Linked DNA regions of Oryzias latipes. The protein of the gene in region 7 binds, or shares a complex with, the protein of the main gene of each other region. Links are inferred from orthologs where the notes say so. Each region holds a gene or a part of one and is shown on either strand. Other genes may lie near its edges. The genes, in order: gemin5, srrm1, prpf3, snrnp200, prpf6, plrg1 and snrpe.

Region 1 (3,619 bases), on a different chromosome or scaffold from region 7:
GCGGATCTGGCTCAGCGTCCTCTGGCCCCCGGGACGACCCACCGAGCTGGTGTCCAGCTGCTTCAGGTAGATCCGGCAGCGTCCCGCTCGGAGCTGCGACCGCACCTTCATGTTCCTCTGTGCTCCCCCAGCGGAGAGCTGCTGCTGTGGGACCTGACCAAAGGCGGGAAGCAGCGCTGGACGTTGTTCGGGTCCTCCTCAGAGGGTCAGAACCACAGCCGGATCGTCTTCAACACCAGCTCGCTGCGTCTGCAGGACGGAGGGGAGCTGCTCTTCAGCACCTCCATGGACCGGGAGGCGAGTCTTCTCCTGCTAAACACAAAAGATCTGATTTCAGAATCAGATCTTTTGGCTTCAAACTCAGAAATTTCTTCCATTTCGTTCAGATTTCTGCAGCTATTCTTCATTTTCAGTATGAAGTTGTCCGATTCTTGTGCTGCAGAGGTGAAGGCTGAAGGAAAACTGCTTTGTGATTCATGATAAAATCCTCCGAGCAGCTCCCAGATCTTGGCATGAAAGCGGATTTCTCCTGTTAGATCTGCAGTAATAATAGTTATGTGTGTTCATGACAGGAAGACGGATCCTTTAGTGGTTTTTATGAATGAATCCGTTTAGCGTTCCCTTCTTCAGGTGTTCTCCAGGGAAACCTGCAGGTCAGATCTGTGACTTTTGTTCTCCATCCTCAGATCAAATGTTGGGACCTGAAGACCCTCAGCTGCTGCTGGACCCTCTTCTCCCTGGGGGGCGTGGTGTACTCCCTGACCTTCTCCCCTGTGGGTGCAGGATGTTTGGCGGTGGGCGCGGGGGACAACATGATCCGGGTGTGGAACACTCTGAGCAGCCAGAACAAGTACGACATCCGGACCTTCTGGCAAGGCGTCAAGTCCAAAGTGACTGCGGTAAAGAGATTTCTGGAAGGCGGGGGTCCATGTTGGGGGGCTCTATTGGTGCTCAGACCTTTGAGGGGCTTTGAGGGAGAAAGCAGAGAACAACAGTGAAAAACTAGAATTATAAATCTGGATTTTATAACAAGTATAGATTTGATTATTAGATCTGCTTTTCCAGAGGCTCAGCGTTCTTCCAGAGTGTCCATCATTCAGTCAGACTTGGTGATGGTAGCTACTGATGTAACCTCAGCTGCCCTGGGGCAGACTGGTGGGGCATATACGGTTGACTGGGGGGAGCGGGGATCAAACCGCCGACCCTTTGTTAGAGTCAGAGGTTTGATGCTCCTGCTGCAGACGTGGAGGAGCGTTTGAACGTTTGAAGTGATGTCGTCTCTGGCGTCGGTTTGAGTCCATAAAGTGAGACTCCTGTGTTTGTCTCTGCAGCTGGCGTGGCACCCCCAGAAAGAGGGAACCCTGTCTTTTGGAACAGAAGACGGTAAAGTGGGAATCTACGAGGTCTTCTCCAGCAGGTACGGATGGCATCGATTCCTTCAGCTTTTCTGACACAGGTTTTCAGAAACATGGCTAACATTTGTCAGCCTCCTGAGCTCCTGCTGAAGGTCCCGCTCACATGGTCTGCACCTGTTCCTGGAGCTGGATGTTTTTACCCAGCAGTCTTTGCTCCCCCTGACCGGGACCTTCAGCAGAACACAGACAGAAGCATCTGAGCTTTCACAAATGGACCCCTGAATAGGATTGTGACGATCCAAACTCCTTTTGATGAGGATGAGGATGATGAGGATGATGATGATGATGAGGATGATGATGGAGGAGGAGGATGATGATGATGATGATGATGAGGATGATGGAGGAGGAGGATGATGATGATGATGATGATGAGGATGATGGAGGAGGAGGATGATGATGATGATGATGATGATGGAGGAGGAGGATGATGATGATGATGATGATGAGGATGATGATGGAGGAGGAGGTTGTTTCATGTCTTAGGGAGCTGACAAACCCAGTGTGAGGAAGGAAAACCGGCTTGAATGACCATTGAGGGCAGCAGTGTAGCTCAGGCGGTAGAGCAGGTCGTCCAACACCCAAAGGGTCGGTGGATCGATCCCCCCGAGCGCGGCCAGTCTGCAGCTCACTGCTCCCCCCAGGGGACGGGGCCAAATGTGGAGAAGAATTTTCCCATTGTGGGATAAATAAAGTATCAATTATTATTGGGATGGACTTGGAGCGATGAAGCTCGTCTGCTCCTGAACCTCCTGGAGTCATTTTCCCGCCATCTGACGGTTCTTCTTCTCCTCCTCCTCTCAGGCCTCCTCAGATATCCAGCTCCTACCACAGGAAGACTGTGTACACGCTGGCCTGGGGGCCCCCCGTGCCCCCGCTGTCCTTCGGTAAGTCTCTGTGGGACGTTCTGACGCCAAACAACGACCTTTCACCTCAGCTCAAAGACATTTTCTTTTTCCAGCTTAACGAATGAATCAGTTTATAAAAGGCCATAATCAATACTTAGAAATCACTGGGAAAGGGAGACTTTGTTTAGTCTCTCCGGCAGAGGTTCACACTGACCAAACCATGTGAACCGTTCAGGTACAGCGGGAAAGCAGAGCTTCGGCCTGTACAGCTGCGCAGGCGAAGGCGTGATTCTGCAGCACGACCCGGCAAAGCTGAGCAGCGAGGCAACGGACATCGACAGGCTCATCAAAGACACCAACGACATCAAGGTGGGACGATGGGGACCCGAGGAAAAGGAAAAGCAGCTTTTGTGGTCGTCGGGATGCTCTTAAAAGCACACTTGAGTAAAGACAGCCGCCTGGCAATGCTGAGGGGGCGGCTCTTGAAGGAAACTTCTCAGGCTGAGACTGGCGGCGAGTTTCTGCCGTTTCAGGCTGAGGCTGGCGGCGAGTTTCTGCCGTTTCAGGCTGAGACTGGCGGCGAGTTTCTGCCGTTTTAGGCTGAGACTGGCGGCGAGTTTCTGCCGTTTCAGGCTGAGACTGGCGGCGAGTTTCTGCCGTTTCAGGCTGAGACTGGCGGCGAGTTTCTGCCGTTTCAGGCTGAGGCTGGCGGCGAGTTTCTGCCGTTTCAGGCTGAGACTGGCGGCGAGTTTCTGCCGTTTCAGGCTGAGACTGGCGGCGAGTTTCTGCCGTTTCAGGCTGAGACTGGCGGCGAGTTTCTGCCGTTTCAGGCTGAGACTGGCGGCGAGTTTCTGCCGTTTCAGGCTGAGACTGGCGGCGAGTTTCTGCCGTTTCAGGCTGAGACTGGCGGCAAGTTTCTGCCGTTACAGGCTGAGAATGACGGCGAGTTTCTGCCGTTTCAGGCTGAGAATGGCGGCGAGTTTCAGGCTGAGACTGGCGGCGAGTTTCTGCCGTTTCAGGCTGAGAATGGCGGCGAGTTTCTGCCGTTTCAGGCTGAGACTGGCGGCGAGTTTCTGCCGTTTCAGGCTGAGACTGGCGGCGAGTTTCTGCCGTTTCAGGCTGAGACTGGCGGCGAGTTTCTGCCGTTTCAGGCTGAGACTGGCGGCGAGTTTCTGCCGTTTCAGGCTGAGACTGGCGGCGAGTTTCTGCCGTTTCAGGCTGAGACTGGCGGCGAGTTTCTGCCGTTTCAGGCTGAGACTGGCGGCGAGTTTCTGCCGTTACAGGCTGAGAATGGCGGCGAGTTTCTGCCGTTTCAGGCTGAGAATGGCGGCGAGTTTCTGCCGTTTCAGGCTGAGAATG
Region 2 (3,619 bases), on a different chromosome or scaffold from region 7:
GGTCTGTCTTTAAAATCACATGCAGTTGGGCTAATTTTAAACTTGCGTATGTTTAGTTTGATTTTTTTAATGTATTTTTACATCAATGCAAATTGTTGAAACATAATAACTGAAAAGTATTGCATCTTGTAGCTCACCTGCCATGCACCAAAATAACTCATGTTTGTTGGTCTAGAGCAGTGTTTTTCAACCAGTGTGCCGCGGCACACTAGTGTGCCGTGGGAGATGGTCAAGTGCGCCGTGGAGAAATTGCCCTCATTAACTGATCTAAAAATGTTTTCCATCTCCAGGAAATAAACTCTTTGTTCATCCAAACAGGCCCTGATAAAACACTGAGTAGTTAGGAATATAAAAGATCTTAAAATTACTTTTTCTTTGTGTTTATTTAATTCTATTAAAGACATTTTGATAAGAATCACGGTACCGCGATTTAGCTGCAGCTATAACTGTGTAAGGAAAAGTCCCGTCCCTTTAACTGTCTCTGCCAATCATTCTTGAAGGCTTAATCACATGTCATCAGTCTGACCAATCAGAAGTGGTTAAAGTCTTCACTTCCTTGTTCTTAATTCTGCTGATAAAGTCGCTCAGTTCTAACAAAAATACCAGCTAGAGCTCGTCTTTAGCTGGGGGGGGGCTGTCGATCAATACAGACCATGAATTTCTGCTTTTGTTTTTTTGGATGGGTTAAAGTGTGCCGTGGCTCAAAAAAGGTTGAAAAACACTGATCTAGAGAGCTAACAGTTACAGGAAACAAGATGAATGTCAACATTAAAGACTTTTTTTGAGGATCTTAAGGCAGTCTTCACAGGTACATCCCCCCCCCGCCTTTTTTTTTTAAATCTACATAAGACATTTAAGGTTGTCTTTACAAGTTACATCTGTTAATAAAATAGAAACATGCCTAAACTGATACGTTATATTTGCGCTGCACATCTTTTTGGAGATTGGAGCAATATTACATTAAACTGGAGAGTCGATAACATAAAACTTTTAGTCAAGATGGTGGTGAAACAATACTTTTCAGTCTGATACACAGTGATGAAAGTCAGGTAAGGAAAAAATCCCTGAACTTTTCTTTGAGCGATATGGCGGGCACAGAGCGAAATTTTGGAAAAATACGTGGTCTTAGATGTATTCTGGTGCATTCTGGCAGCTAGTTATTCACTTCTTTATCAAGAAACTAAGACTAATTGGAGCATCATGATTTGTCATTCAAACCCCTAGTTTGACTCTCCATTAAGGACTTGCTGGTCCCAAAAAAGAATTTGGAAAATTGCTCAAAGTAACACAATCCTACAATCTATGCTTTTCCTTAAAGCTGCAAAACATACAATTGCTAAAATATAGTAACATCAAAGCCCCAAATGGCAAAAAGAACACCAGTAACTATGATATTCTATGAAAATACCTCAGTTATTTATACATTATTTCTGCTTTAGAAATGACTGATGTACAACATCCACTTGCACTGTTTTCTCAAACTATAATTACATCAAAATATGGGATCTGCTTTAAACTTTAATTCTATAACATAATACATCAATTCTTTAACACCAATACTAAGTAATCTGGGAAATATCAAAACAAACATACAAACTAAACAAAACATTGTAAACATTATTTTTTAAGGGAGTGCGGGTCCAAACCATCAAATACTTATAATTAATGTTAACTATACTGAACTAAATCATGGTAATTAGGAAATACAAATAAATTAGATAAAGAAATGTATTCAAAATAAAAACTGAAACTCAAAACTAAAATTGAAATTATTTCAAAATGTGGTTTTGAGATTATTTTACACAAAAAAGTATTTGACCTACACTACCTTAAAAATCTTTTTTTTCCAGCCAAGACCACTTCAATTTGTTTTTTATCGTCTTCTCACAACTGAGGTCGTGACCACGCTCAATAATGACGATGCCTGCCATTATTTTAACACAAATTTGATCGCAAACTCTTCAGATGTGTTTGTGAAAGTTTAGCGTGGGTCCGCCAGTTTTGGTCTCTAGGGAAGCAAGTCACGCTGACCACGTGGTGCAGACAGAGCCAATCAGACCCATCGACGCATCCGAAAGCAACTAAAACGTCCCGTCATTGGTCAATTAGGCCGGGAAGACGAGAGATGGCCACGACCATAGAGGAAGCGATCTGCGGATAAATATAGAAAATAAAGCTAAAATTAGCTGATTTCAGACCATTTTTTAATCCGGAAAGCGATTTGTCCGTAGAGATCAGGTCTTTATTTCCCGGAAAGTACGTTCGGTTTGCTCAAAAACCCGGATTTCCGGGAATTCCCGGAAGACTTTCATCACTGGATACAGTTAAAGATAAAGACTGATAATGTTGAAAACAGGCTTCAAACTTTACGCCTTCTATTTTTGTTTGAGTCTCCAGCTATTTTTAATGGGATCTCAGCAATTATGAACTGCAAAGTCCTACAGAGAATACAACTGTTCAAATCTTCAGCTGTGCCTTTCACAGACATGAAATAGGTGATCCCTGTAACCAAAACTCACCTCAAACCACAAACTGCATCATGAAGGGAGAGTTGGGCTCTGTGACTTTGGGCTCAGGAGAGAGCTAATTAGATGTTGGTGCTATACTTCTGATGCAAGGTTTAACATCCATATTGGTTCAGGCCTTTTAAATCATAAATCACATCATCATTAGAAAACTGCTGAATAAAGGCACTTTGTCAAATAACAGCAAAACATGTCAATGTCATAAATCACTTTTACACCAATTTGTCTCTTTACCCATTTACTTTCAGGAGTATTATTAGGATGATTTACTTGCTTGCATCCCTTCTTACTGGCTACAAATTGCCCTAAAAATAATCAAAGCTGTAACAAACCAAAACAAAGGAGAGACAATTTCAAACATTACCTTCTCCTCGAGTTGGTTGAAAATGAACTCAATGACCACATCGTCTTCAAATCCCAGAATCTCTGTCACACGCTGAGTAATCCAAGGTTTGATGACTTCTAGGTTCACTTTGGTCATGTCCACCTGAGGGAAACCAAACAAATCGTCAAGTAAACCAGTGACTAAAGACAAAACAGTCCATGTTAAAGAAAGAACAACATAAACATTTAAACTTGAAACATGTATATATACTCATTATTTTTGGACCCATATTTCTACACATTGATTTTAAGACTTAGAATAGAATTTAAAGTCCTACTTTGATCATCTTTTTATCTTATGTAAACATGTTTCCAGTGGTCTTTTCATTATGATTGTGTTGTTTATAGCCAGAATTAATGCATTAATAATAATAAATAATAGTCTTATTGTTTTCTAGTACATAATTCATAGTATTAGTTCATTGAAATGTGCTTCCATGTTGTGGACGGGACTGTTGGTGCTGAGTAACCCTCACATCTTCCCGTCATCCATCTGCGTGCTTTGCTGCGAGCTTACAGCCCCTCACAACCCCAACCTAACATTAGTTGTGCAACCAAAATGCCGAGCAATATTGGAGCTATCCAGTCGTACAGTTTTGAGCCAGATGCCAGCTCAGACGACGAAGACAAGAGACGTACACGATTCTAGTTGTCCACAAATGGACACATCAGAATGGAGCGCAGCAGAGAACTTGTATCCTGCCATTGGA
Region 3 (4,403 bases), on a different chromosome or scaffold from region 7:
CTAAATCATTAATTTTTATTCATTAATTTACCTTAAGTTCTCTCTTCCGGTTCTTTTCTCCAGATCCTTTGCTGCCACGGCTGCTTCTACTTTCCTCAAGAGCTTCAAAAAGACGTTCAACAAATCCACCAGCTGAGTCTTCGAGGAAGGGACGCAACTGGTCTGAGGACAATTAAGAGTCAAATGATTAACAATGTATTCAACAGTTCGTTGATAATCATTTCTTAATATAAGACCAGTGTTTTTCAACCTCTTTTGAGCCAAGGCACACTTTATCCTTGACAAAATTCCTGCGGCACACAAGCATCCAAAAATAAAAAAAAGGAGAAACTCTATAGTCTGTATTGATTTACAGTCCCTCCGCAATCACAGACATTTTTGTGATAATTGTGGCAAAAAAGCTGGAAGTTGCAGCAGTTTTTTCTAAAAGATGTAATAAAAGTTAAGTTAGTTTTCCGTAATAACTTTCAAATAAATTAATTGAAAATTTACCCTGGTAGATGTTTTTTCCCCTCCAGTTTATTAACATGCAATTTCATGTAACCTCACAAAAAAACAAATACATTCTTTCTAAATAATATACTTTTTACAATTTTTTTTCAATGTTGGTGCAAAGGCAACTGTAATTTTTGAACAGTTATATGATCACAATATGATTGTTAAGTTTTACACACCAAAACTAACATATTTATGTTTTCTGTAGCTACATCAAAAGTGAACATGTTGAAGTTTTATTAGTTTTTCTCTTGTCTTAATCAAAGATTAATTCTTTGAAAACTTTAACAGAAATGTTTTATTTCTTTTTAGATTATTAAATTGTTTCAATTCTGTTTGATTGTGTCTCTCGGCCACTTCAACATTATCCTATTTCTTACAGACCTTATAAGAAAAATGTTTCATTAATAAAGATGACTTGGACCAAACTCTGGGATGTTTGGATGTTATTAAAAAAACACAAACCTTGAAGAAAACTAAACTGTTGACCTTTGATTTAATAAAGAAGATTTAAAAACTGATGTGTGTTTGTTGTGGTTTCAAGACGTTTAACAGGGAAGACTCGTCCGCTGAGACGCTGTCACGTTAACCCAATGCATCATGGGAAATGTAGTGGAAAAAGCTAAATCAGAACAAGGAAGTGATGACTTTAACCACTTCTGAGAGGTCAGACTGTTGACGCAGGATTAAACCTCCAAGAATGATTGGTGGAGGGGTTAAAGGGGTGGGACTTTTCCAAAAACAGAGCTGAAGCTGCGGCTAACTCGCGGTACCGCCATTCGTTCATTCATGATCTTCTTCCGTTTTGTCCCTTTCGGGATCACGGGCTGCCGGAGCCCATCACTTGTGGGCGAAGGCAGGGGACACCCTGGACAGGTTGCCAGTCTGTCGCAGGTCACACACCCATGCACTCTCACAGTCACACCTAGGGACAATTTAGAGTTGTATGAACGGACAGGTGGGAGGTCGCTGTGGGAGGAAGCCGGAGGCCCCGGAGAGAACCCACGCATGTACGGGGAGAACATGCAAACTCCACACAGATAGGTCCCCCATTGATGTTCTGGTTCCCCCAGCTGGGACTTGAACTGGGGGCCTTCTTGCTGTGAGGCAAGAGTGCTAACCACTGTGCCAACGTGCAGCCTTATCAAAATGTCTTTAATAGAATCAAATAAACACAAAGAAAAAAGTATTTTACGATCTTTCATATTCCCAACTACTTAGTGCTTTCTTGGGGCCTGTTTGGATGAACACAGAGCTGATATCCTAGATTTGGTAAATGTTTTTAGATCAGTGAAAATGGGTAATATCACACGGCACAACGGTTGAAAAACACTATTAGACTAAGACCATTAGTGACTGTAATCATAAGCAAATGTTTACGGGAAAGCTAAAAGCACCAAACATTTGACAAACAAAAGAATCTCTTAAAATTTTTTACGAGTTTGTTTTTGCTTTATATTATAAGACTATCTTAATGTGCAACCTCAAAACAAGATGAATAAGAGACGCTTAAATTCAGAAATGCACAAGTAACTGTGTCATCAAAGATGGAATAAAACAGAACAAAAAAATGAAAATAACCACAACAGAATTAATTACTAATGATTGAAAACTTCTTTCTTCATGCAAATGAGCATGGAATTTACCCGTGGTCTTCCTTTTGTCCAATCCTTTCCCCACACAGTGTAAAGCTGCAGTGACCACCGTGGGCTCTGAAAACCCCAACACCTTCTTCACAGTGCGCTCCACCCACGGTCTCAACTCCTCCACCTCCCGCTTGGGAAGAGACATCCTTCTGCCCTTCAAAACACAGCACGCAGATGTCTTTTTTAGTTCTTGTTGGAACAGGAGTCCTATTGTTGACAAAGTTGATGAGTGAGAGCTACACAAGTGGCATTATTAATCACAAGCCATGACACAGAGAGACCCTCCTGCGTGTCAAAAATGTCGAACACATTTGAGGACAAGTTTGCCTTTTGTCATAAAAAATGAAAGTTAAGTTAACAAAATGTTGCTTCATATCAAAACATATCAATAACCAGACTAACCAAAATAGCAAACAAGCTAAACTCTACTAGCTACTTGCGCCAAAACTCATCGACCGCTGCTAGCACACGTTAGCATATTGCTACATTTGGGAGCTACCGAAATCTGCTAATAGCGGCTTAAAGGTGGATACAAACCTCTCAGTTTTGTCTACAATCCTCTTTACTTTAGATATACTCTAAATTACCCACAAAAAGAATCTAATTTCAAGGGTACAAATCTCTAAAGCCTGAACATTTCTTTCAAACTTTCTGATTAGCCGCTCCGTACATGTAACGTTTCTTCCACGAGACCCGGAAGAGGAAATGACGTAAATTCTTCTTCTCGACTTATCCTTCTCAGTCTTTTTACCGTGCTTTGTTTGATTTTCGCCATCTATGTCATTTCTCTTGCAGTTGTTTATGCGCTTTCATAAAGGCACTTTAAAAAATAAAAGTCAAAACCGCTTCTATAATATATTTAAAAGTGTTCATTAAATATTAGCAAAAATTCAGCAAGTCAAGGAAATTCACCTGACAGCTGACAACACAAAGGAATTGTTTTGTCTGTAAAGTCTTGTTAAGGGATTGAAAATGTATTTGCCTAGCTGGCCAAAGTTAAATTATGTGCAAATATTTTCTTCCATACATTTTTTGATTAAATAAGGCATATTTTATAGGAAATAGTCCAAAGTGAAACTTAAACAATCAGATTGCATGATATTCTTTCTTTTTTTTGATATTCTTTTTTTTGTTTCTTTTTTTTTATATTCTTTTTTTGTTTCAATTAAACTTGAGAAACGTTAGCCTATTCAATAAGTAGCTTGCATTTAGTAAGCAGAATACCTTTTTAAGGTACTTTATACTGCACATTTTATAATATATTTTACAATAGTAATTTCAGTGATAAAAACAATGTTTATTATGCATTGTGAGTGTTCTTCTGCATGTGTGTTATGAAAATTATAACTATTATTTATACAAATGAGCAATGCAAGTATTTGCATTTTAATTTCTGTCCTAGTAAAATGTAGTTGTGTTACCACAGATAAACACAAACATTTTTTAAACCACTGCTAACAAAATCTAACCAAACGTAAGAGAAAACTGTAATACCACAATATAGGAGATTTTTGCATTTTAAGACATGGGCAAATTTAATTGCAGTTCCAAAATGTAGTGGCATCATCTTTTTGTTCATGAAGTGAAAAGTTTCTTTGAATGGTAAATCACAATTTTCTGCTTAGGCTACGCATAACCCTTAAGTTCAGTCTTAAGTTAAACATTACTCAAGCACTGCACTTAGATACTCGGTCAACTTACAAAAAAAAGCCCCCCCCCCCCAAAAAAAAAAATCTTTGGCTTATCAAGTGCTTTCCTTCCCACTCCACTCCAGATCCGCCCCTGGGTGTCTATTGGTTTGCGTGATGTGGGTCAACTGAGTGCATTTGTAGTAGAGCGAGCCTGAATGAGCAGTGGTGAGCCTGAGGCTACCACACAGTGGCTCTTCTCTGTATAATAATCCATGTCAGTGCTAACAAATTGCAATTTCTTTTGTAAAAATGCTCTGCAAAGCTATTTACACTTACTAGAAAAATGTAATACATTAAAATAATTGTCCCAATGAACCTTTAAAATAGTGGTGGACAAAACTGTTGGTATCCCTCAGTTAAAGAAAGAAAGTCCACAAGGCTCACTGAAATGACTTTAAACGTTCAAAAGTAACAATAAAATTATAAATTCAAATTAATTGAAAATTAAATAATCAAAATCAGCCATTACTTCTGAGTTGTTGATTGACAGAATTATTAAAAAAAAAAACCTAATGAAATAGGGCTGGACAAAAATGATGGTACCTCCATGAAAGACTGAGAACTAATTGCC
Region 4 (3,619 bases), on a different chromosome or scaffold from region 7:
ATCTGGAGAACGTCATAAATGGGATAATCCACATATCTGAAAGAAAACAAAACAAAAATGATTGAAAATATATTTCTGAGCCGCTATAGAGGTTGGGACAGCCTGATCCTTACGCATGGATTTTTCCATTGTAGTACTGGGTGTCCATGACAATGACCAAATGTGCAGAGATGCTAATTCCCCAGCAGAGAGAACGAGAAGAAACAACCACCTGGACAGCACCTGGATGAAAGAATTACCATCAATCATTCAGAAATTTATTTTTCTAATGCTTTGCATGTTGATGAAAAATTCTTCTCGTATCAACAATGAAGTCCAGGAATGAATCATACCCGAGTTGAACAGCTGTTCCACTATTTTGCGTTCAGTTGCTGACAGGCCTTCATGCAGATATCCCACACCATTGGCCAGAGTCTCTTTCAGAGTGGGATCATTTATTTTCTCCAGGAATGGTACCAGGTCTTTCTCGGTGCAATGCAAGAACCTTCAAAGAAACAGGTTTCACCTTTGTGTAAAGATTTGATTCCAAACCCAGAGAGTGGAGTCACATCTGGTGACCAACCTCTGAGGAACCACGTCGGCGGCGCAGAAAGTGAGGATGTCAATGGCAGTGAGGCGGGTCTGTCGGCGTGACGGTACGAACACCACCGCCGGCTTGGATGGGGAGTGCTTCATGATGGCATGATAGACTGGCTTGGCCATGGAAAGCAGCCGTGTCTGAGTATGACTGACGTTGAAACCCTGCAGGAACAGAGAAGGTCCATGTTAACAAAAGGATCCTGTATTTGTGGCTTTGATCATTTACAGGTAGACATGTTAATGAACCTGAATGTGCAGCTCCAGAGGCACAGGTCTGACATTTGGGTGGAAATTAAAGGTGGCCGTGGTGCTGCAGCCCAGCCAGTGAGCCATGTCTTTGGCATTGGACAGAGACGAGCTGAGGGCGACGATGCGGATGGGACGCTCGATTTGTGAGGAGATGTACCTCATTCTGGAGCAGATAACCTCCAACACCGGCTAAAAACACAACCAAAGTCCCATCGATTAGACAATCTACATACAGTGATGCAAACACCTGCTGTTTACAGAGACTAAAACACTTCTTACTCCATTTTCTCCACCAATAAGGTGTGCTTCATCCACAATGAAAAGGCTGACGTTCTGCACATTCTTTCTCTGTTTCCAGCGACGAGACAAGATGTCCCATTTGTCTGGGGTGCTGATGATGATGTCCCCTTTCCCCAAAAGCTTCAGATCGGTGCTGGTCTCCCCAGTTAGGAGCACCACCTTCTTGTTCAGGATGTCCTGGAACTTCTGATGCCAGTCAACAAAGACCTGAAAGAGAGAAGCCATCATGAAGCTACAAGCGGTCCGATTCTCCAAATGGATGTGGGCTTCACAGAGTTCTTCCATGACATTGTACCTGCTCAGCCAGTGCTTCCATGGGAGTGATATACACACAGCGGCCTTCTGTGTTGTGCAGCAGCATTCTGAGAATGGCAAACTCCGCACAGATGGTCTTTCCACTCCCAGTGGGAGCTCCCACAAACACATTATCGTCACTGTTGTACACGGCATTGAAGACTGATTTGGAGAAAGGAGTAAGAAAAGAAAAAGATGTGAATACAGAGCTCTGGTTTGAGTCAAACAGATCAGTCTGAAAATGGGATATTCCATCTTTTTGTCTGGGTTTCGTTTTTCCAAATACCTTGTGTCTGAATTGGATTGAAGAACGGAAACTTGTTCTGGTAGAGAGCTTCAAAGGCAGAGTTCCTGAGAGCAGTGACGGGCAGCGGCTGCAGGTCCAGCAGCTCAGTGGGTGGGGGGTACTTCTCTGGCAAGATGAGGTGGCGGAAGGACACTGGGAGCTGAGTCTCACAGGCTGAGAGAAAAACAGAAACGAGAAAGGTGTCAGGCGAAGTTGTACAGTGGAGAGCAGAGGAATTCTGCATTGCAGTTCTCTTTGAGCTACTTACAGAGCCATCGGTCTGAAACCATGCGGATGAAATACTGAGGAGGCAGAGGCTCAAACACGGGGACAAAGAACGTCACCAGATGTTCGTCCTGGGCGTACTTGGCTTTAAGGAGGAAGTACTCGTGGTGGAGGATCACTTCACTGTCAACGTCCTCCACCAGGATCCAGAAAGCTTCAGATGATCCGTGAATCTAAGCAGAAAGGGAAGCTTAGAAACAGGAAAAGCTTTTCAGAAGGGAAACGTCCCCGAGTTACAGCCACAGACCTTATCGTCCCACTGGAAGTCAGGCGTGATGGTGAGCTCCACTTTCAGAGTGGAGCGAGTGATGGGCTGGAGATGAACGGCGAGGTCCAGTCTTGGGAACTGATGGACGTATTTGTGAATGGTCTTCCCCATCTTTGGCATTCGAATCAGTTCGCCTACACAAAGAGGAAGACAACAGCTTTTTCAGTGTCCTGCAGGCAAAGGACAGCATAGAATGAAAATGCTTCATGAAGCGAGAAACTCACCAATCTCATTGTGGTTGAGATCGTACAGACGCTCAAAAGGGAAGTTTTTCTTCTCAATCTTCTTGACCACTTCCTCTGGCAGCTTTTTGAACTGACGCAAAGGAGACATCGACTGCCACCTGTAGGAAAATCAGAACATAAAGCATGAGAATCCAGCTTCAAGATAGAAAATGTATTTCTTTAGTAACATAAAAGACACTTGCATTCTCTTGTCGATCATCTTGCACAGGTTCATGGTCTTATCTGTGAGCTGAGCCCAGCCTCGGTTTAGCACGATCTCAAATATGGCGCGCATCAACCGTCCAGCACTCTGAAGAAAGAGAACCGCATTATTCTTCAGGCAAACTAATGTGCAACAATAGCTGCAGTTACATAGACAAAAGTAATCGGAATAAACGCCTGATCAGAATAAAAATGCGTCAAGTAAACACTTTGAACAGACTCATTTGGATCAAAATGTCCTTCTGATCGAGGTAGGCGTGTTATGTCGAATGTTGATCCGATCGTGGTGCATATAAACAGTTTTTGTCGATCCTGGGTCACTACGGCTTTGGCTTTTATGTCATGCACACACGGTGTGGTGCTCCAGAGGCTGCTCCGCGCGAGCGAGCCACATCTGTGAGCAGAGCAGCCGGACTCGTAGCTTCGTGTCTCCAAGCAGAGGAGCAGCTTCAGAACGGTGTGTGAGATGGCGGAGGCAGCTATTGAATGCGGAAATGCACTGCACTGAGCAGTCCTGAGAAACCGCGCAAATAATTAAGTGAATTTGTGTTTTCAATCATGTCCAGTCAAAATAAAGGCTGACGTTATGCCCACATACCTATGTGCAGCCAAGATGCACATTGCAGCATTGACCAAAAGGATTTTAACTGCATCCACGGCCAAATGTTGTTAGCACGTATTAACCTAATCCTAACCCTTCTTCTGGGTACATGCAGCCAAGAATAAAGCACTGGCTGCACATATTTAGAAAATTATGAGCATCAGGCACTTAATAATAATAACAATAATAAGAGCACGCTTAAAAGATCTTAAAAGAACTCGCCATTTCTTCTTTTATGGTCATATCCGGTATTTTACATAGTTCTGCGCATGTCAAAATGATTTATTATGATCAAAAGTGTGCCATATGTA
Region 5 (3,619 bases), on a different chromosome or scaffold from region 7:
GCAAGGAGTCAGTAAATACGCGCACACGCACAAGATCCAACTAGAAGCACTGAAAACCATGCATCATGCTGCAGTCCCAGTTTAGTCCAGCAGGGGTCAGGAAACTTCACCTAAAACAGTCTTAGCAACTGCCAAATGTTTATGATACTGCTACTTTGTAGCTTCTGTACAGCAGCCGTGAGCTGATGGGTATTTGGACAGTAACAAGATGGAATTAGTTTATTGGTTTTAGTGCTTTATAACTGCAGTCCTGAATTCAGGCTGTGGAACTGTGGCCCTCCTTTGGCTTGTTCTTCTCTTATTATTCATTCTTATTCTTTCGTGCGTTTTTTTGTCCGTTCATATCTTCTGCATATTTTATCTGATTTCTGCCATTCAAGTATCAAAATGTCCTGCAAATTGAGGACATTATTGCTATCTTCTGCGATTTCTGCTACAACTTATGGTTTTTCTGCAATTCAACAAAATTGCTGCAAAATGTTGCCATAGAAGTACATAGGGGAAGGCTCTTCAGCAACTTCAAACTTACTGCAAAGCTAACTTCTGCATACTTTATGCCGTTCAAAAAATTCAAACATGCATTTGTTCTGCTCTTTTGTAGACTTTTCTGCTGTCTTTAAACCATTTTGGTAACATTTAAAGTTTTTCAAAATTTTAAGTTGTTTGAATTTCAAATATAATGGAAGTCAATGGAGACAGTGCTTCAACTTCTCTGTTTTTGAAATGCATCTCCTCCTATAATTTCTCAACAATTATTTTAATCTGACGTATAGTTGAGACACAGCATCATTTTGTTTGGGACATCTGTCCATCTCAGACTCTGTAGCGTTTGTGCCTACGTAGATGACATATACAGCTGCGAGCAGTCCTGGAATTTGAACCCGTTGCCATGGAGACAGCACTCTCTTTCAGACACGCACAGACACACTGAGACGGGCTTTGCAAAAGTTCAGGGGACCTTTGACACTTTCAATGACACATAGATGTTTTTTTATTCAAAGTTTCAAACACAAATCCCCGTGTTTGGAATAAATTCTGTTTGTATGAACAGCTTTAACTAGCATAGCATTAAACCTTTATATTAACATCATGCTAGCTGTAGGTGCAAATGTAGACATTCCTTTACATTTTTGTTATGTAACCATTACATCTACATTGTGCTGGCTCACTTATGTTAGATCATTTAATTTGACATCTATCAAGGGTTTTCAAGCTAATTTGGCATTTAGCTAAAAATTTTACAGGTTTTTTTGCAATGTGAATTAATTGCAGCATTATAATGGTGATGTCTTCTGCAGCTTGGCAATCCGAAAACCTCTGCAGATTTTACGCAAACAGCTTCAGCAATTTATCCAGCCTTTTTCTTTTCAATACATTTCAGCTTCCTCTGCTAAAAGTTATGCGATTAAGCCAATAAAAGCAACCACCTTTTGCAATTAGTCAGTTAATCGTATATACCCAGGAAATGCAACTTTTCTAGTTATTCTTGGCACATTTTTTGTCATTTTCAGTTCACAGCATAGAAAAGCAGTTTCACACATTTACAGTTTGTTCACATTATATATTCTATCTTGTTACACTTGTGAGGGAACTGTAATTGGAAACCGAATTCCCTGGAACAATAATGCTCCTTCTCTTCTAACATTATTTCCTGTCTGCACTAGCTGGGGGGCCTGAACACACCTTACCCTGGGAGCATGACCCCTGGTCTGATGACACCTGGAACAGGAGAACTGGATATGAGGAAAATTGGTCAGGCCAGGAACACTCTCATGGATATGAGGCTCAGTCAGGTATGCTTTTTGTGTAATTCAGTATGACTTCCTCTTTAATCTGCTTGTGTTCTGCAGTGATATGGATAATTGTTCTGTTGCGTTTGACTTTTGCTGTGCAGGTGTCAGATTCTGTGAGCGGGCAGACAGTCGTGGACCCTAAAGGATACCTCACAGATCTGAACTCCATGATCCCAACTTATGGAGGAGACATCAGGTAACGACAGCGCGGCCGTAACTTCTTTTCTTTTATACGCGTTTGTGATCCCACCATCAGATGTTTCCACTTCCTTGCATAACAGATAAGATTTTCTATGCATTAACCAAAAAAAGCATCGGATAAACCTTTTGTGTGAAAGAAAGTGGGAAAGATTAAATCAAAGCGCTATCTAAAGCTGTGCATTTTTCTAATTTTTATTTTTATTTTATTTGGTAAGTGCGAACTGTAAAGTTGGGGAGATAGCTTCTAAATTTGCATCTCAATGAGTAAGAGGTTCCCGGGAATGTGGGAAGTTGTTGAGATTGTCTGTTTTTGATCATTTGTATCTAACTCTTTGGGTGCAGTGACATCAAGAAGGCTCGCTTGCTGCTGAAATCAGTGAGGGAGACCAACCCCCATCATCCACCTGCTTGGATTGCTTCGGCCAGGCTGGAAGAGGTCACTGGTAAACTTCAGGTGGCGAGGAACCTGATAATGAAAGGCACAGAAATGTGCCCAAAGGTAAATTTGAGGTTATTGCAGGCTTGATCGAAGGGGTGTGACAATCACAGCATCACCGCATCGGTGATGACCGCATCACAGCACGTTTTTTTCTTCTGCATATGGTGTGTGATTGGAACTAATAAACACATTAAACACATTCATCTTTGCTGATAATTTACTTTTTCTGCTAGTCCCGTGTTCAGACTTCAGGGGCTTCTGGGGGAAACCTTTTATTACTGTTCTCCTTCACTCCCTGCGCGGCTCTCACTCCCTCTTGCGCCCCACACGCTCCCTCTCCTTACACACACGTGCGCGGTTTCAGCAGCACATACAAATCCTCATTGTACAACAGAAATTCCGTCTCGCGAGGAAATGCGACAAATTTACTGCGTTCTAATTATTCATTTCCATTACAAGTTGCGTGGGTGGTGGTGTTTATTACTGTTCTCCTTCACTCCGTAACACCAAACACGAACGGGCTCTGTTAGATTTCGATGAATATCACTACATGTTTTGTTTGGGAATTATTTCGTGCAGCGCAAAGTTACGTGTCTGTATAAACAAAGGCGGAGCCTCCCGCCACGTGTTCTTCATGGGTGTCAGGCTTCATGGCTACCGGAAAGGTGACAAAGTGTCTGCAGTCTGTTTATTACTGGGCAATATATAATATTCTGAGAAGATGTCTGTACCAGAGAGCACAGGTGAAGCCTTGCTTGCAGCTCCAGAGCGGTCCGCTGCAGAAGAATTAACACACTTGTGTGCTCCTTCCTCCTACATACGCAGCGTGCTGACACACATACACATAGTCATTCTACAACACCTATATAGTTAGTTCATTAGGTGGATAGGTAGTAGTTAGTGGTTACTGTTATTTGTTAATAAAGAATACTGCGTTGTAATTGTATTCATTTGCAACGCAGCCGCGGGGGTATTTTGTGTTTGGCCGGGGGGGGGTTAACCGCCACACCGCCCCCGCTGCTGGTTCATCACCGCGGTGATCAAAAATCCCACACCGTCACAGCTCTACTTGATCGTCTGTAAAATGTTTTATTTTTGAATGAAAATATTTCACTTTATTGTGGTATCTATAAATGCAAACCGAACTTTCTAGCATTTCAGTTTTCCTGTTCATTTATGAAAGAAT
Region 6 (4,148 bases), on a different chromosome or scaffold from region 7:
AAAAAAGTTGCATTTTCGATAAATGCACAGCAAATATCATTCTTTAAAAATATTGGCATTAAAAAAAAGAAATTTCCTTTCCAGGGACTAATTGTAGAATTCCTAATTCTAACAATTATAGTCTGACTTCCTTGTTTTTGCCACGATTTCAGACCCTCATGGTGTATTTTGGATAAACGAGGAATGTTTTTCTTTTTTGGATCAGTGTCCTTAAATTGAACTTTTGTTTACAGGGGCGTTTACATTTGTTCATACACAAAAGAACTCAAAAGTGTTTTGCTTTCTCCAAAAACCCCAACTATGGTTCCTATGATAAAACAAAAACAATTTTTTTCTGCAGCTCTAGACATTTGAGCAGGATTATTTTTAATACATCTGTATTTATTTATTTAAAGATCTGAGCTTTGTCACTTCTTGTCTGTCATGTAGGATTTTTCTTCCATGTGTGACATATATAAAGAGTAATGAGTGGATTCCGATCTTACCCTCGCTGTGGCATCTCTGCTGCACGTCATCAAGACATCAATAGTTGGATGAAGGTCCAAATCATACACAGCACTGAGGTGGCCATGATAGTGCCGGATTACCTAAAACACAAAATACTCATGTCACTAAAACACCAAAACTCTGACGTATGAAGAAAAAGAAAGAAATGACTGAACTTTTTGTCTTTGTTTATATTCAAACAGCCCTAAAATGTTTTTTTTTAGAGATATTGTGAAGAGAAGCTTGTACCTTGTTGTACTCTAGATCCCAGCATTTGACTTGCTTATCCTCTCCGCAGGAGAAAAGGTACGGACTGCGGCTGCTCACCGCCACTCCACGCACTGTACTGATGTGTCCAGTCAGAGACAGTTTCAGCTTCCCACTGGCCAGGTCCCAGATCTGAAGGAAAAAGCAAGTCTCATGATATCCTTTCCCTGTAACAAAACACTCCTGGTTCTTTTTTTTTTTGCTGTTCCACCTCAACAAATGCAAAAAGGAGAAGAAAAAAAGCTTTGTAGTGTAAAAACAGTATAAAAACAATCAGAACAACGTATTGTATAAATAAAATAAAAAATAGAGAAGAGATAACCTTTATTGTTCTATCTGCAGATCCTGTCACAAACCACTGATTTCCAGGCTCCACAGCGATGGACCTGACCCAGCCCAGGTGGCCGCTGATGACCTGTCAGGTGACAAAAACCTTTTTAGTAATCACGTGAGATGTTGCTTCCCCTCCGTCACCGGATTTGACACAACTGAAAAGGAGTTCAAGGATAATTTGCAGTTACTCTAAAGAGTTTCCAGGGAGGATGCCACTGCGGTTTGGGCATGACCGGCGTTCTCCTCAAGAGGTTGGAATTTCTGGTGCCGCCTCCTTCCAAGAGCAGCTGCAACGAACAGATTGTTGCGTTAGAATTTTGTCAACCAAGACTGGGTGAGAAAAAAAAGCGCTTAAGAAGCTTGTGATGTACCAGAGCGGTGGACTGAGCGTGAGCTCTTTCTGCTCCACGACGGATCTCTGCAACTGTGGCTGCAGTGCGGCTGGACTCTTGTCTAAAACAGCCATCAGAAGACAAAAAATAGATATATCAATGAATCCCGAAAAGTTGATTCAGTACTATTTGTATTGATTGACTGAACAGGATTACCTTGCTTGTGATGGTGGTAAAGCCAGAGCCAAGGAGTGGATTCCTGACTCACTGGGGTTTCTGTGCACTTTTGTGTCAGCTGTCAGGGCGACTCCTGTTGGGTTAAAGACATAGATAATAAAAAGCTGGCTAAAAAAATGAATAAAGTTCCTTTAAGCTTGGCTAAAAGGAAAGTATTTACCAGGTCCAGAGGGATAAGCGTGCGTTCCCGTGATCAGATATTCAGGATCATCTGCTGAAGTTGTCGGAAACCAAAGACAAACAAGAAAAAAAAGTCAGATTTTTACAATTTAAAACCAAAAACACTGAACGGTGATGCTTCCCACTCACCCGGCTGCATGTAAGCTTCGTTGTCGTGGAGACCGTCTGGATACTGTGACATCCTGTCCTTTCCTTCTTTTAGCACTGGCATGTGTAACACAGGACTGTAGTCTGCCTTTAGCTTCACGGCCAACTTCAACTTGTGGCTTAAAACGAAAAAAAAAAAGAGGAGCTTCAACGCAAACCCACCCGTGTGCCCACGTGAAGTGGAAACATATAGACAAACCATCTCCAAGTGCCAAAGATGTTTATAATCAAAACATGAAAAAATATATTTTCTCCCAATGCATGCCTAAAAGGTTAAAGTAACCCTTTTGATGTGAACTATTGCATAATAAACTAATAAACATATTATGAACGCACGATTAGCATGACCGTGAGTTTTAACTAAAGTGATGATACACATTTTAAATACAGAAGTCATAAATGTAAAAGCTCAGTATACCTTTCATCATCTAAAGCGACGGCTTTAGCATGGTCAGCCACGAACATGTCATGAGTCCTTTTCAAGGATCTGAAGACCAAAGTGTGGACTGAGTGTTTCTGGACTTCCTGTAACAATTAGAAGGAAAAAAAAGTTTACTTGAAAGACGAGTCCATGTGATTTATCAGGGGGGATACACTACAACGTGTGAAGATTCAGAACGTTAACATCCAGTAGTTAGACGGGTCCAGTGCTGTGTGAGTCTAAAGCGTGGACCAAAGAAAATCAAATAACTCAAATAAAGTCTCACCTCGGTCATTGTGGCGATAATAAAGATTGATATCACACTGCAGTTAAGTAGTTTTCGGTGAATATAATCCACGAACACCGTAGGTGTAGCAAAGCGACAAAAACAGTCCACCGCCGCGACAAACGAGTCTGCATGACCCGGAAGTACAACAGCCTGAAAGGCTAAAAGATTTATTTTATGAGCGCCCTCTGGCGGTACGTCTCATCCCAGCGTCTCACAGTGGCGGAGATTATGTTTTTCTATTATCAAGCCCCCATTTTTCGCAATTTCTCCGGGACGTTTTGAAATACATATACATATTTTAGGGGGTTTCAACATTTTTTTTAATTATTCAGTAAAAAGGCAAATTTAAACAGTTCTGTGCCGTTTACACATTTGGTGCAGAAATAAATTAAGGGTTCATATAAAAAAATAATAATAAAAAATAAAACATTTTGTTTTTGATGTGAAAAAGAACTAGTGTCTGGGAATTACTTATTCCCCTTTGCTAATGACCATTCTTCCAGCCTCTCATACATGTAGGCTGGACACTACTGAGTCTGCTCTATTTAGAAGTTCACAATTGTTGATTTTATCCACAAGTTGGTTTGATTTGTTTTAGTTTATTAATCTTTTGCTGTTAAATTTCCCTTTTAAACCAATTTTATTATTTATTAAATATTGTTTTAATAAAAAGGTTTCACAAAAAAAGCAATGAACTCATTTATTAAGAGATGAAATAATTTACAGTAAATATTTCAAAGGAAAATTTGATTTGGATAAATTCCTGCAACAACCAAAGCAGCCTGAAAATAGTACAATCATCTAATCTTATATAATTGGATTCCAGTTATTTCTTGGTTGTCAATGTATTATTAGTGCTCTGAAGATACATTTTCAGGTTTTTCTTCAGTTCTTGCTGTCCTTATCTATGCTTGTAATTTCATTTTCTACCTCCTGCCTTTGATTTCAGTGGTTCACAGCACAGTTGATTTTCATCAAAGACCTGAAAATTGTGTTTTCTGTGTTTTTAACATGTTCTTCAGCCATTTTTCTCATGATGGAGGACATTTATAAAGAAAATTTAGCTGCAAATTGCATTTCGGAGTATTTCTTTATTCAAATGTAAATCAGGAGCAGATAAAAAAATACTGTTTGAAAAAGGTTGCATTTGATATGCAGAAAATACCCTAGGTGGGTCAGAAGCTTCCTGCTCTGTGCTTTGGGGAAGGGGGGCAGGATTGCTCCACACCAACAGTCCTGCCCACAACTCAGAGGTGATTTTCTAATGACTTACTGTTGCACTGCAGAAACTATGTCTTAGAAAACGATACGTTTTTCAATTTGTGCCAAAAAGTGGCACAATTAAAAAGCACAGGGAACGCTTTTCTAATAGATCAAAAGACGATCAGAGTGGAACTTTAAGCGTTCTGTGTTCATAGGGCCTCTTGATTTGACTCTTTTTGGTGTCAAACTGAAT
Region 7 (4,222 bases):
GAAAAAAACAAAGCCATTTATTCTCAAAGGTTGTAGAGAAACTCACATTTATGCATAAAATCGTAAGCAGTTAACAGAAAAAAAAGACAGGATCTGCAGTCGTCACTGGTGTCACTAGGTAGAGACACTCTGCAGCAAGGTGATGTTGTCGCCCTTTAACATAACCCGACCTGTGAAACAAGGAAAGAAATTTATCTTGACATTTTAAAAACTGACATTCCTGAGTGTATAACAAATAAATACTGACTGGAAAAATATTTCTATGTTTTCCTCAAACAAATATTTTGTTACAGCAGTTCTAGAAACAAAAGCTAACAGTACATGTTAATAAATACAAAGAATATTCAAATTTTTCATTGTAAAATAAATAAATAAAGCTGTTCTAATAACTGCTAAGATCAAAAAATAGTAACTGAAATTTAACAAATTAAACAAGCTAAAGAGTCTTACCCAGTGGCTTTCTGTTCTTGGTCTTCATGTGGACCTCCTCAGCATCATCTAGAACCAGGTTCATGTACTCATCAAAGCCCTGGAAAATAAAATAAAAAGGAAATAATCAATTAACTACTTTCATAACTGAAGCTGTTTGGATTCATTTAAATTCAGGCTCTCAAGGTTTTTCCCCCCCAAGAAAACGGCACAGGTTGTTTGTTTTTATTTCGGCTAAAAACAGCATAATCATAGTTAAAAGATCACCGAGAATGTTCTGAAAATAGATTAAAGTGTCAAGAGTGTAGGACCGGCAATTTCAATTGGTCTCCTAATTCATGCTTAGTTTGTCATTATGCTGTTCTCATTGATCATTTACCTACTGTATTGTGAGTCTGAACCAGTGTGTGTTTTTTTTGTTGCCGTTTTCAAATACATTTTTAAATCAGCTGCAGAGTTCTGCTCTACTGGTAAGAAAGGTGCCCGCTGCAAAAGCAGCTAAAACAGAGCCCCAAAATAGTCGTAGAAAAAATTTCTGCAAAACAGTTTTAAGTTGATTATTGTGGATCTAACACCAGCCATTAAGAACTTTTACCAAGCTCCAATAAAAAAAATAACTAAAATGCTAGGTCAGTGGTTCTCAAACTTTCTCTTGTTCCCCCTTTTGGAGCGGAGAAGGAAAACCTGGAATCGTCGATCGTTTTTACAGTCTATACCAGTTTTAAAGTAACTGTGGCACACATTTGGAAAGTTAACAAACACTGTGAAAGTAAAATAAAGAGAAATCTTACAATGATGCAGCCTTCTATCCGCATGTTCACCTGCTCATAAAGCCACACCTGGATTCGTGAGCGCTGCAAAGCAAAGATGACACGAATCAGTATTTCAGTCACCACCGAGACAAAAGGTGAACCTGCAAGAGCCTTCAATACTCACGTTCTGAAGGTATCTGAAAATGAGGTTCTGATGAACAGAGTCAAGGAAATGACATGTCTAAACCGTTTCAATGTTACAGAAGATATTTCAAATAACATGAACTAGTCATTTCAATTTCAGTAGAGTGACACAAACTGTTTTGCACTTTAACCGGAGAGCTGAGATCCTGTTAAATACCAGTGAATGTCATACATTTCAATGTAAGCCAGTGAAAAAGGACTTCACAAACCAATTACATGACCGAAATGATGAAATAAAGCTATGGATGACGCAGAATTTGCTCGAAAGTCCCACTCAGATCATTTTGATCTATTTTTGAAGTATTATCGGCGGTCTTTTAACGTTAGTTATGCCTTTTACCAGCTTACAGAAATTCTGCAATTGTTCTAGAGTTTTACAGTTTACTATTTAACTTCTGCTGATGTATCCACGTTATAACGTAAACTGTAGGGCAACCATGTCAAAACAACTGAAGACACGCTTAAAAATGGATTTAAAACGGGTTCTGGCATTAGATTTTCTCTTATTTATTGACTTTGTTAGGGGTTTTTTTACGAGTCAAATTTTAATGGTATTCTTAATTTCTTTAACATCTTTTTTATTTTTTTATAGATGACATGTCACTTCATAATCAAGAAAAATAAGAAAACAGGTCTCACACACTCACAGGGACAAACTTGAGTTAAGTTAAAAACCAAATAAAAAACTACAAAATATGACCAATTGTTACAACAAATCAAAAGAACATTTAATTATCAGACCAAAGTAGTGCATTTAACTAATATTATTAGTTTAAGTCGTTAAGTGCAACATCTCGATTGTTGACTTCTTTTTTCACTAAAAGAAAACTCTGCCAAAGGTAAACGTGTCATTGTTTTCTTCTTTCCAATTAAACAAACGTATTTTTGTAAAATGTATAATAGTAAATTGATAACCCATCATATTGCTATGTACGTTTAGAAAATGCTAAAAATGTTTGTTTCAAATTCAATTTCTTTCGAAGTACAACGTCGTGCTTAAATTTGATCGATAAACAGAAAAATACGTGCTTCAATACTGAAATTAAAAAAAGTCAGTAAATATGCATTCCAATGTATTTAGAAAGTCATGTAGTACCTAGAAAAAAAAGGAATACAGTTTACCGATGAGCAAACACGAGAAATAACCGATTAGCATCGCTGCTAACAAATGCTAACAGCAAAGAAAGGATACAATGGGCTGCACCATAACCTTCTGCACCTTCTGTCCTTGTCCTCGGTAAGCCATTCTCTTCACACGCAAAAAAGACACGCAAGAAGTATTTCGTTAAAGAAATATTGCCTTTTACAATTGAATGATTTCAACGTTCAGCTCACGATGCCAAGTTGCCTTAATGGCGGGTTTCTTTCCGCATCCGGTTCCTGCACTGAAAGGTTTCCCTTCACCGAACAAGCGCCACCTACAGGCAGGATGTCAATACTGCACAATTTGATATTTGGTCAAAAATTACGTTCAGTGTGAAATCCTTCAAATATGCAGACTAATTATGACTTATAAAAAGTATGAAAACACATCTGGTACCAATTAAAAGGCTAAATTTAATAATTAAGTTGTTTTTGAGTCACCATATTTTTTGTCAACGTCTGTTTCAGTACATATTTATTTCTTAATCCTGAAGGGAAAAATACAAAGGTTTTGCTTCGACTTTTTTCTTGTACATTTTCAGTAATCGTTTATTTTTGCTTGGATTAATTTCAGTGATTAACACAAGTACCAATAATATTTGAACAGCTTTCATATAGCAGAAAAGAAGGTTTAAATATTGATACATCAACTAGTTTGGATATAGCGTCATTTACTTCATAGATGTTCAATTGTTGGATGTATATAGTCTAATTTATCATTTAGATTTTTATTTTTTTATTTTCCTATTACACATAATATTAACAAGCATACAGATATGTAATTACTGTAGTTGTTTTTGCAACACAAATTCAATAAGTGAAAATTGTTGATAATTTTTGTAATTTTTCCATAATTGTTCAAACTTTTTATTATTATTATTTTCTTACAAGTAATTTTGTTTTCAATATTAGAGTTTAATTTTGTAAACTATTTCCTAAACATTTATCTTGACCAGGTTCTACTGTCACAGCAGTGACCTATTTTATCCAAAAGAGGGCAGCAGAGAAAAACAAAAACATAAGAAACAACTCGAGCCCAAGATGAACATTAGTAAAAGGTTTCACTTCACTTTCCTTATAAATAAACTTAAAGTTCTAATCTGAGTTCTACAATAAACATTGTTAAAAAGTGCAGTCGATTTAAAGAAGTTGTCTATAAAAGTATTTAGTCAAGAAGGTGAGAGGTACAAATGATTCTTCTTGTTCAGTAGTGTTCTTTCTTCAAAAAGGTTTAGAATTTATCGCATAACTTTTGTTTTTGATTAAATGTGAAATATATTTTCACCTGCAGATGCAGACCTATGAATTTAGCAGGAACATGAGCTCCATTGAGGAGTGTTTTTTCCCCACCTAAGATTTTTGTGAGCTAAATTAAGAATATAAAACATAAAAACATGTATGTGACTTTCTAATTACATGTGTGTTAAATTAAATTAAATTAAACCCCACTCTCTCTCACACACCTAAGTGTGCGAAATTTGTTTCCGCATTTGACCCATCCTGGGGGAGCGGTGAGCTGCAGACACAGCTGCACTCGGGAACCATTTTGGTGGATTTAACCCCCCCAATCCAACCCCTTAATGCTGAGTGTCCAGCAGTCTTTGGTATGACTCAGCCTGGGTTTGAACCCATGACCTTCCAGTCTCAGGGCAGACACCCTAACTCTGAGCTGGTTAGAGAGAGATTATGCAGAT

What was found.
Region 1: snrpe (region 7) and gemin5 share a complex: the UniProt entries of both Homo sapiens proteins name them as parts of the SMN-Sm complex. The link is inferred for Oryzias latipes from reciprocal best matches to the Homo sapiens genes SNRPE and GEMIN5.
Region 2: snrpe (region 7) and srrm1 share a complex: the UniProt entries of both Homo sapiens proteins name them as parts of the minor spliceosome. The link is inferred for Oryzias latipes from reciprocal best matches to the Homo sapiens genes SNRPE and SRRM1.
Region 3: snrpe (region 7) and prpf3 share a complex: the UniProt entries of both Homo sapiens proteins name them as parts of the U4/U6-U5 tri-snRNP complex. The link is inferred for Oryzias latipes from reciprocal best matches to the Homo sapiens genes SNRPE and PRPF3.
Region 4: snrpe (region 7) and snrnp200 share a complex: the UniProt entries of both Homo sapiens proteins name them as parts of the U4/U6-U5 tri-snRNP complex. The link is inferred for Oryzias latipes from reciprocal best matches to the Homo sapiens genes SNRPE and SNRNP200.
Region 5: snrpe (region 7) and prpf6 share a complex: the UniProt entries of both Homo sapiens proteins name them as parts of the U4/U6-U5 tri-snRNP complex. The link is inferred for Oryzias latipes from reciprocal best matches to the Homo sapiens genes SNRPE and PRPF6.
Region 6: snrpe (region 7) and plrg1 share a complex: the UniProt entries of both Homo sapiens proteins name them as parts of the minor spliceosome. The link is inferred for Oryzias latipes from reciprocal best matches to the Homo sapiens genes SNRPE and PLRG1.

Annotation. Positions count from the first base shown.
Region 1 is NC_019872.2:29,399,084-29,402,702, reverse strand, and holds part of gemin5 (gem-associated protein 5), read left to right. Parts: coding exon 1-66; intron 67-131; coding exon 132-297; intron 298-686; coding exon 687-899; intron 900-1,331; coding exon 1,332-1,417; intron 1,418-2,216; coding exon 2,217-2,299; intron 2,300-2,495; coding exon 2,496-2,629; intron 2,630-3,619. UniProt on the Homo sapiens protein: The SMN complex catalyzes the assembly of small nuclear ribonucleoproteins (snRNPs), the building blocks of the spliceosome, and thereby plays an important role in the splicing of cellular pre-mRNAs.
Region 2 is NC_019880.2:16,877,892-16,881,510, reverse strand, and holds part of srrm1 (serine/arginine repetitive matrix protein 1), read right to left. Parts: intron 3,013-3,619; coding exon 2,890-3,012; intron 2,644-2,889; exon of another isoform or gene 2,520-2,643; intron 1-2,519. UniProt on the Homo sapiens protein: Part of pre- and post-splicing multiprotein mRNP complexes. As a component of the minor spliceosome, involved in the splicing of U12-type introns in pre-mRNAs. Involved in numerous pre-mRNA processing events.
Region 3 is NC_019874.2:18,946,589-18,950,991, reverse strand, and holds the start of prpf3 (U4/U6 small nuclear ribonucleoprotein Prp3), read right to left. Parts: upstream 2,855-4,403; 5' UTR 2,679-2,854; intron 2,296-2,678; 5' UTR 2,287-2,295; coding exon 2,142-2,286; intron 163-2,141; coding exon 32-162; intron 1-31. UniProt on the Homo sapiens protein: Plays a role in pre-mRNA splicing as component of the U4/U6-U5 tri-snRNP complex that is involved in spliceosome assembly, and as component of the precatalytic spliceosome (spliceosome B complex).
Region 4 is NC_019867.2:18,369,278-18,372,896, forward strand, and holds part of snrnp200 (U5 small nuclear ribonucleoprotein 200 kDa helicase), read right to left. Parts: intron 2,796-3,619; coding exon 2,689-2,795; intron 2,605-2,688; coding exon 2,486-2,604; intron 2,396-2,485; coding exon 2,241-2,395; intron 2,167-2,240; coding exon 1,977-2,166; intron 1,883-1,976; coding exon 1,709-1,882; intron 1,585-1,708; coding exon 1,424-1,584; intron 1,336-1,423; coding exon 1,108-1,335; intron 1,018-1,107; coding exon 826-1,017; intron 742-825; coding exon 563-741; intron 485-562; coding exon 333-484; intron 223-332; coding exon 114-222; intron 37-113; coding exon 1-36. UniProt on the Homo sapiens protein: Catalyzes the ATP-dependent unwinding of U4/U6 RNA duplices, an essential step in the assembly of a catalytically active spliceosome. Plays a role in pre-mRNA splicing as a core component of precatalytic, catalytic and postcatalytic spliceosomal complexes.
Region 5 is NC_019865.2:15,463,937-15,467,555, reverse strand, and holds part of prpf6 (pre-mRNA-processing factor 6), read left to right. Parts: coding exon 1-7; intron 8-1,664; coding exon 1,665-1,793; intron 1,794-1,894; coding exon 1,895-1,989; intron 1,990-2,336; coding exon 2,337-2,493; intron 2,494-3,619. UniProt on the Homo sapiens protein: Involved in pre-mRNA splicing as component of the U4/U6-U5 tri-snRNP complex, one of the building blocks of the spliceosome.
Region 6 is NC_019859.2:20,801,083-20,805,230, reverse strand, and holds the start of plrg1 (pleiotropic regulator 1), read right to left. Parts: upstream 2,848-4,148; 5' UTR 2,699-2,847; coding exon 2,690-2,698; intron 2,508-2,689; coding exon 2,401-2,507; intron 2,102-2,400; coding exon 1,965-2,101; intron 1,870-1,964; coding exon 1,816-1,869; intron 1,729-1,815; coding exon 1,635-1,728; intron 1,540-1,634; coding exon 1,458-1,539; intron 1,374-1,457; coding exon 1,275-1,373; intron 1,169-1,274; coding exon 1,076-1,168; intron 886-1,075; coding exon 736-885; intron 588-735; coding exon 486-587; intron 1-485. UniProt on the Homo sapiens protein: Involved in pre-mRNA splicing as component of the spliceosome. Component of the PRP19-CDC5L complex that forms an integral part of the spliceosome and is required for activating pre-mRNA splicing.
Region 7 is NC_019863.2:23,629,254-23,633,475, forward strand, and holds the start of snrpe (small nuclear ribonucleoprotein E), read right to left. Parts: upstream 2,801-4,222; 5' UTR 2,632-2,800; coding exon 2,578-2,631; intron 1,393-2,577; coding exon 1,366-1,392; intron 1,284-1,365; coding exon 1,221-1,283; intron 530-1,220; coding exon 451-529; intron 171-450; coding exon 115-170; 3' UTR 1-114. UniProt on the Homo sapiens protein: Plays a role in pre-mRNA splicing as a core component of the spliceosomal U1, U2, U4 and U5 small nuclear ribonucleoproteins (snRNPs), the building blocks of the spliceosome.